Linked DNA regions of Neurospora crassa OR74A. The protein of the gene in region 1 purifies or fractionates together with the protein of each later gene. This does not show direct contact. Links are inferred from orthologs where the notes say so. Each region holds a gene or a part of one and is shown on either strand. Other genes may lie near its edges.

The links.
Region 2: the proteins of NCU01612 (region 1) and NCU03702 purify together in Saccharomyces cerevisiae (affinity purification with mass spectrometry, with the first as the bait; 5 studies listed by BioGRID). This does not show direct contact. The link is inferred for Neurospora crassa OR74A from reciprocal best matches to the Saccharomyces cerevisiae genes PRP43 and NOP1.

What each region holds. Positions count from the first base shown.
Region 1 is NC_026502.1:2,956,869-2,961,004, reverse strand, and holds the start of NCU01612 (pre-mRNA splicing factor ATP-dependent RNA helicase PRP43), read right to left. Parts: upstream 2,814-4,136; 5' UTR 2,590-2,813; coding exon 391-2,589; intron 325-390; coding exon 199-324; 3' UTR 1-198. Other genes in the region: pp-2 (protein arginine N-methyltransferase HSL7), read left to right, coding at 3,603-3,737, 3,821-4,136. UniProt on the Saccharomyces cerevisiae protein: Pre-mRNA processing factor involved in disassembly of spliceosomes after the release of mature mRNA.
Region 2 is NC_026505.1:2,139,419-2,143,468, forward strand, and holds NCU03702 (rRNA methyltransferase NOP1), read right to left. Parts: upstream 2,829-4,050; 5' UTR 2,542-2,828; coding exon 2,427-2,541; intron 2,191-2,426; coding exon 2,130-2,190; intron 2,068-2,129; coding exon 1,833-2,067; intron 1,772-1,832; coding exon 1,446-1,771; intron 1,388-1,445; coding exon 1,221-1,387; intron 1,160-1,220; coding exon 1,092-1,159; 3' UTR 276-1,091; downstream 1-275. Other genes in the region: NCU03703 (60S ribosomal protein L17), read left to right, coding at 3,082-3,084, 3,273-3,486, 3,689-3,876, 3,969-4,050.

The DNA.
Region 1 (4,136 bases):
CTCCTGCTTCTCATTGCTGTTCCCGGCGGAAGAGGTCGCACCGGTGCGGGCGATGTTCTCCGTAACGTGTACGAGCGGCGGGCGACTCGGCTTCTCTTTCTCGGTATCCTTGGTCTCTTCACAACGACCACTACCATCAGCTACCACAGCAGCAGCGGAAGAAGACTTGTTCTTTCTCTTCCTGTCTCTACAACGCCACTAACGCGCGCTGCCGCTGCCCTTGATGGCTTGCCTCCGCTTGACCTTGTCGGTGATACGAGTGAGCGCCGACTTTATCTCGCCCTTCTCAAAGGTATCGAGGTCGTAGTAGACGGGGGCAATTTCCTGGTTTACATAGGTCAGTTTCAAGATGCCATTGACAAAGGGAATTCATAAAAGGGGAATACGTACAAGAAGCCACTCAGGACGAATGTTGGTCACTGTCCTGACGTACTGCTTGGTTGTGAGAACGAACTCGTTATAGACGACCCAGTCGTATGGGCTCGTCACCGACGTACTCGGGTGGATCATGACGAGCTGGTCGTCCTTGACCGTCTTGTACACCTTGCTGTTGCTGCTCTCGCGCATGGCCACCTGCATGAAGAAGCCAGCCAGGAGCGCGCGGCGGATGTTGGTGTAGTAGTTCTTGTCCTGGAACGGCGTGCTGACCAGGCTAATGTCGTGCGTCTCCATAATACGCTTGAGCTGAGCCCGGACGTTATCGGCGCTCGACAGGTGACGGTATGAGAGGAAGTGCTCGTGGCACCAGCGCTTCATGTCGTCGCCATTGGTCTCGGCACCCTTGAAGGCGTGGTAGGCGTTCAGCAGCGTCAGGTGGTCGCCGTCGGGGTGGGCGAACTGCATCTTCATCTCGTCGGCCCGCTTACGCGCGTTGTTGGGGCGTACCCATATCGAAGGGACGGAGAGGAGGGACACAATGGAAAGGATCTCGTTGGAGCAGTAGAACTCGGGCGACGAAATAAGCATGACGGCGAGGGCGGGGTCAAGCGGGAACTCGGAAGCCAAACCACCGAGACGCGTAAGCTCACCATCGTCATCTAAGCAGGCGAGGTAGTTAAGCTCCTCCAGGGCGCGCATCATGGTCTCGGGCGCAGGAGGGTCCATGAGATCAAAGTGTACCAAATCCTCAACACCAAGCTTCTTCAACTCCAGAACAGTGTTGGCCAGGTTGGATCGGAGAATTTCAGGATAGGTTTGCTCAATAAGTTCCTTCTTGAAAGCCTTCTCGGTGTAAAGACGGAAGCATTTACCGGGCCGTGTACGACCAGCACGACCAGCTCTTTGCTGAGCAGAGGCCTTCGAGATAGGAGAAACCAACAAAGACTCAACACGAGAGCGGGGGTTGTAAATCTTTTGCTTGCTGAAACCGGGGTCGACGACGTAGACGATACCATCGATTGTCAAGGACGTCTCGGCAATATTGGTCGAGACAATGACCTTGCGACCAGGCCTGCCACCCTTGCGCAGGGGCTCGGGGGCCTTTTCGAAAATGCGCTGTTGGTGCGCAGGAGGGAGAGTGCCGTAAAGAGGGTAAACCTTCATGGGGCCAGCATCCGACTCGCGAATCATGTCGTCCACCTCCAAGCTGATTCTTCGGCAAGCATCCTCAATCTCCTCCTCACCAGTAAGGAACAGCAAGATGTCTCCCTCGGGTTCAGTGGCGTGGATCTGGAGGACGGTCCGTACGGCGGCCTCGAGGTAGTCACGCTCGGGCTCGGGGGTATAGAAGATCTCGACGGGATGGGTACGACCGGGGACGGCGAGCAATGGGGCGTTGTAGAAGTAGGACTGGAACTTTTGGGCATCGAGCGTGGCAGACATGACAATGATCTTGAGGTCTGACCTGCGGGCGGCGATCTGCTTGAGCAGGGCCATGAGGATATCGGTCGCGAGGGTACGTTCGTGGGCTTCATCGAGAATGATGCAGCTGTAGCGGGACATGTCGTGGTCGTGCATGGACTCGCGCAGGAGCTGACCATCCGTCATGTACTTGAGCATGGTCTTGGGGCCGGTCCGGTTCTCGAAACGAATGCTGTAACCGACTTCCTGGCCCAGTTCGACATCCAACTCGTTCGCGACACGCTGGGCAACCGACATGGCCGCCACCCTTCGGGGCTGGGTACAGGCGATGAGCTTGCCGTTCGTGTGGGGGAGCTCGTCGTAGAGGACGTATTGGGGGATCTGGGTGGTCTTTCCGGAACCCGTCTCACCGACGAAGACGAGGATCTGGGTGTTGTGGTACATGTCGAGGAACTCCTGGCGCTGCTTGTGGACGGGGAGGTCGCGCCTCACTTTGAGGATGTCGAAGTATCTCTGCGAGTGCGGCTGGCCGGTCCACGGGTTGAGCTCCGAGTCCTCGGCCTGGGCGGCCTGGGCGGCGGTGGTCTTGTGCCTCTCGAAGGCGTCGAGGGGCGATTCGAAGTCGCCATTGGTGCCGTTGCCGTTGCCGTCCTCGTTGAGATGGGCGAGGTAGGGGTTGTACTTTTCGGGGGCAGCATCGCCATTCTCGGCACGCTTGATGCGCTTTGAGTCCTGGTCGTTGCCGTCCATGTTGGATCTCTTGACGCCTTTGTCGTCGTGGCTGGCCATTGTGGTACCGACCGAGGGCAGCTGGCCTTTTTTTTATATCTTGTTTCTTCGAGCGAGAGGGGTGGGTACTAGGAAACAAAACAAGAAGACCGAACTGAAGGGGAAGAAGAGAAGCGGCGATAGGCAAAACAGAAGGCGGAGTGTCGATTATGGCACCTCCAGTGGCAGTGATGAACAACAGCGAAACAGAGTGGAGGGGAGGGCAGTGGGCAGGCATGCGAGGCTACAACTTTTTTTTTGTTTGATGTCAGGGCGATAGGTCAGACCTGGCCGGCAGTTCCTGGCCGCAGCGACTCTCGACCAATGAGGGGTCACAGTGATAAGCTTCAGTGGAGTAAGGAGTGTCTTTGGCAAGCGCTGATAAGCAAATCACTGTAGCATTGGACAGGACCCTGATGGGCACTAAGACGGTAATTTTCTACACTGTTCTGTAACTGTCAGGTTCACTCAGTTTGTTCCTGCTGCACGTGAAGAAGAAAAAAAAAAGAAAGAAAAAAAGAGGCAAAATGCAGGCAGGTTGATGAAGTTTGTGACATTGTGACATTGTGACATTGTGACTTTTGGCGCATTGGGTTTGTGTGCAATCTTTCTTTCACTCAGCTATTTCATTTTCCATGTACCTATCCATCTATACCCCTCCATACCTGTTTATTTCGAGTTGGTGACCGTTGAGGTTGGACTTTTTCCTCTGGTGCTTCTTCCCTGGAAATATCCACTGCCATGGGGTCAGTCCGTTTTGGGAAAAATAAAAAAAAAGTACCATCCAACTTTGATTTCAGTCTTTACAATTTTCCCTGTGATTGGGTCCGATACCTCATCAAAGTACAGCCTATACATTCTTCTACTGTATACAGGCCCCAGAGACTAGTATAGCTACCTTCTCCGTACCCCTCCCGCTGCTGTTCGTACCACCTCAAACCTAACCTGGACCATCGCGGGGTTATTTACTTCTAGTCTCGTCCACTCTCTTTCACTCACTCGGATTCACATAAAAGTCCAGTCACTCACTCATCATGTCTTCAAATCGCGGGTTTAACCCCGAGTCCGAGTCTTTCGAGCAACGGCCGCCCTTTTACATTGGCCAGCATGATGTCCAACGACATGAGTCGCCCACTGACAATCAGTACGGCCAGATCTTGGACAGTGGTGTAAGTCTTTCCTTACATTAAAGTAGGAAGAGAAAGAAGAACGAGCAACAGCATAAATTCTAACACACATGAGATGAGAATAGTTCAACTTTGTCACCACCCCCATCACCAACGAGCACTTTCACCAGCGCGTGATCGACTTGTACAAGAGCCATCTCCAAGAACGGGAACAGTGGGTCACCGAACGGGGACTCACTGACGCCCAAAAGGCCAACCCGTCGCTGCCACTTCCTACGGTTCCTACCTTGACTGACGACGATACATCCCTGTTTCCCAGCAGCTATGTTGGCTCGCTCATCGCCTATGCCAGCCCATGGATCGACCTCTGCTCTGCCGATCCCATCATCTCAGACATCTCCCGTCAGGTGCTGAACCTCGAGCTCGCCTACGCCAACTTCT
Region 2 (4,050 bases), on another chromosome or scaffold:
TTGGCTTCGATACTCGTCGACCAAGATATCCCCGGGACCATAGTAATTATATATCCTTTAGCCTGGCTTGGGCCACAAGTTGTAGAGGTACTTTGGCTTAGTACCCGGTAACGGATCACACTTACACTGTCCGTACTCTCCATTAACGCTGCGCGTCTCGTCCCGGGATATGTTGTCGCCTGAGTTACTTTGTCAGCTCTGATCAACGCCGCAAGCAAACGAGCCAAGAAGATAAGATTTTCAGCGGTGCAAGAGCGCTTAGTACGGGGAAGGTGTAGAGGCAATGGGGTGAGATATCGAAGAGCTAGATAGCATGCAAATCATAGATCAGAGCATATCCAGCATCGAATAAAGCAACAAACAATAAGCTCAAGAAGTAACAAGACCGCCGACAAGGCCGATGATAAGGAGCAAAGATGACCCAAAACTCTGATATGTAAATCTATAGGACTAAGCAAGCTCAAATTTGCTCATCAACAAGCGAAACCAACGGCCCAGCATCCTCTTGATCCTGGATAGACTCTAGGCATGTTTAAATAATCCTCAAAGCCATGTAATGACTGGCTTGCAGTACCCTTGCGTCCCCAGGCCCAAACAATCTCCTTTGAAACTCGAATGGCCAGAATAGTCTCAGTTTTCGACGTGATACCCTGATGAAAGGGGAGGGACTCTCAGTTCGCAGATTTCAAACGCCATAAAGACGAACCAAGCTGTCGAGCATTTTAAGCGCCGATAAAAGCAACCTCTGCTTGACTATCCAGCGCCCTTCTCGTTCTTAGGGTGATTGACTGGTGATCGTTCTTGATGTGTTGTAGGCTGGCCAATTTCGCTGGTGAACAGGAGGTTCGTTGCGCGGTGACTTAGGAGTCGTGACGAGATCGTGAAAGGCGGCGTAAGATGGAAGCAACCGGGGTCACTCCGGATATCAGTCTAAGAACCCTGGTGCTTTATTCCCACAATGCTAAAACAAGGCAGATACCCAAACGCCATTCGCCGTTCCAGATTTACAAAACCATCCTGCCAGTAGAACACCGAATTATGTGAAGGTTCCAGAACAGAGCAACGAAGATAGAACAGTACTAATTCGAAACTCAGTTATCGACGAACTCCTTCTGCTGGTAGACGCAAGAAACCATGGCGTGGTCACGCTCGTAAGGCTCTGTGGGTGATTGTTAGTTATTGTTGGCTCTATCAACCAAAAGGGAAGCGGATGGACGTACCAAGAGTCAACTGCTCCTTGGGGAAAAACTTGTCCTCACGGAGCTTCTGGACCTCAGAGGCGAAGACCTGCTCGGGAGGAGCAGTGGAGTCAATGCAAGAAGCCTTGATAGAGATGAGAAGACCACCACCCTGCTTCAAGAAGAGCTTGGCGTTGATGCCGACAATTCTGAAATGTGTTAGTGTCAGGCACATACAGTGTCAAGGATCTGTATAAGTCGGCTTACCTGGCCTGATCGGGCTGGGCAACATCGGCGAAGATGACATCGACCATGGGGAGCAGCATGCGGTAAGCCATGGGCTTACGGGCATCCTCAACGATGGGGATGACGTTGGTGCGGCGAGTAGCCATGTTGATGAGGTCACGGCCGGAACGGTGAGAGAACTCGACGGCGTAAACGGAACCAGTAGGACCGACGATATCGGCAACGTGAGAGACCGAGGTACCGGAGGCAGCACCGAGGTAGAGGACCTTGGAACCAGGCTTCATATAGATGGTTTCAAGACCACCGAGGATACCGGCAGCAAGCTTCGAACGGAAAGGGTTCCAAATCTGCAAAGTCCAATGTTAGTCTTTGTCTGAGGCCACAAGCTGGAAAGCCTGGAAAACGTACGCGGTACTCAGTCTTGGTGGAAGCACCACCTTCCTCCTTAGAGGCGTTCTCGACAGAGATTCTCTTCTCGCCATAGACGGACTCGCCAGGGACAAGGTTGACGGTAGCGAGGAGATCCTCCTTACCACCACGAGCGACGAAGACGCCCTTGTGACGGTGAGGCTCGACGATGACCTTCTTGCCAGCAGCACCACCCTTGGCGCCACCGCGGGCACCACCGCGACCACGGGTAGCACTATACTCATAATGTCAGTCAATGTCTTTGGAGTAATCAAGGGTTTTGAACACAAGACGTACCCGCCACGGCCACCACCGCGAGGACCGCCACGACCACGGGGAGCACCACCACCACGGCCGCCTGTTAAGTCATTGTCAGTAAAGTGTTGCGTTAATGTGGTTGCTGTTGCCATCGCATGTTGAGTCGAGTTGCGATATGAAGTTCGACTGAAATCGCCATCCTACTACGAGAAGTCAAGAGGCATGCATGGCGACCACGGGCCGCAGCAGACGCAGAGACATCTCTCAAGATGACGAACAGAAGCAACGACATAACCGCAAAGACCATTCAGGCGATGGCATTGAGGCCAAACTCACCACCGAAGCCACCACGGCTACCGCCACGGGCGCCGCCTCTGCCACCACGATCACCACCGAATCCACCACGACCACCGCCACGGGCGCCGCCTCTGCCACCACGCTCGAAGCCCATTTTTATAGAATGTGTCGGTATTGATAAGTCGGAGTCGGTATGAGTTGCGATTCTGGGCCGAAACGCGTTGTAAGATCAGTCGTGCGAGGCACAATGGGTTTAGAGTTGTCGCGCGGCGCTGTCGAGGACTCGGAAAAGAGCTTTTGCTGGAGCTGGGTGCAAAATTTCCTGGACATGGATTGAAAGAAAAAAAAGCGGGGCACGAAGTCTCATCGCTGGAGCACTTTTTTTTCCGGTCGAGGCCTTCTGCCTTTGCAATTGGCTGTCGTCCTGGCGTGGCGGTCGAGGCTCTCCAGTTTGTTGCGGATGCTATCGTGCACGGCCGGCAGTCCAGGAGGCAGGCTGTTATCGGCGCTAGCACTTACTGTCCCCGCGTGCACGTGCCTCAGGCAAAGTGACGGTCCGCACGAGCCACCTGCGCAGTGCCCACAGAGCCCTAATCGCGAAAATCGGTTTTTGTACGCCAAAATTGGAACCCATCACCACCTCTGAACATCACACTTGGTCGATTCCCCGTCCTCTCATCGACAAGCAGGCAAGATGGTGAGTAAATCCCTGCGAAATCCGCCGAACGAGAGAATCGCCGCCGTTATTTTGCTTCAGGACAGTTTTCGGGCTTCTGCAGCCGAAATGACGACGAAAGTCTCAACGGACGACAATGACGGCTTTGCGAGCATTGCGAGCACTTGGAGGAGAGGGAATCGCTGACCGAGTCTTGTTCAAAATCGCAGGTTCGGTACGCTGCGACTGAGATTGCCCCGGCTAAGTCCGCCCGCTCGCGCGGCTCTTACCTCCGTGTCTCCTTCAAGAACACCCGTGAGACCGCCCAGGCCATCAATGGCTGGAAGCTCCAGCGTGCTCAGAAGTTCCTCGAGAACGTTCTTGAGAAGAAGGAGGCTGTCCCCATGAGACGCTACGCTGGTGGCACCGGCCGCGCCGCCCAAGGTACGACTTACTCGATATTTACATGCACAAACACACCCGAACCGGTACATCATGCGACGACGACGACGACAGTGGGGAGGACAAAGTGGCGGGGGAATAGGGGGGCATTGTCAGCATGATGGAACCGCGACCGACCGACACGAAACCGCAATCGAATGGAGGACATAGAAGACACGGTGCTGACCGTTTCTTCGTCATATAGGCAAGCAGTTCGGTGTTTCCCGCGCCCGCTGGCCCGCCAAGTCCGCCGAGTTCCTTCTCGGTCTCCTCAAGAACGCTGAGGCCAACGCCGATGCCAAGGGTCTTGACACTGGCAACCTCGTTGTCAAGCACATCCAGGTCAACCAGGCCCCCAAGCAGCGCCGCCGCACTTACCGCGCTCACGGTCGCGTACGTCAAACCCGGAGATACCCCCCTGATTTCTGCTTCTGCGCCGGCAGATAGACGATCAAGCCGGTCATTGGCTAACAGTTATGTTTTAGATCAACCCCTACATGTCCAACCCCTGCCACATCGAGCTCATCCTCACTGAGGCCGATGAGGTCGTCCAGAAGTCCGAGGCCG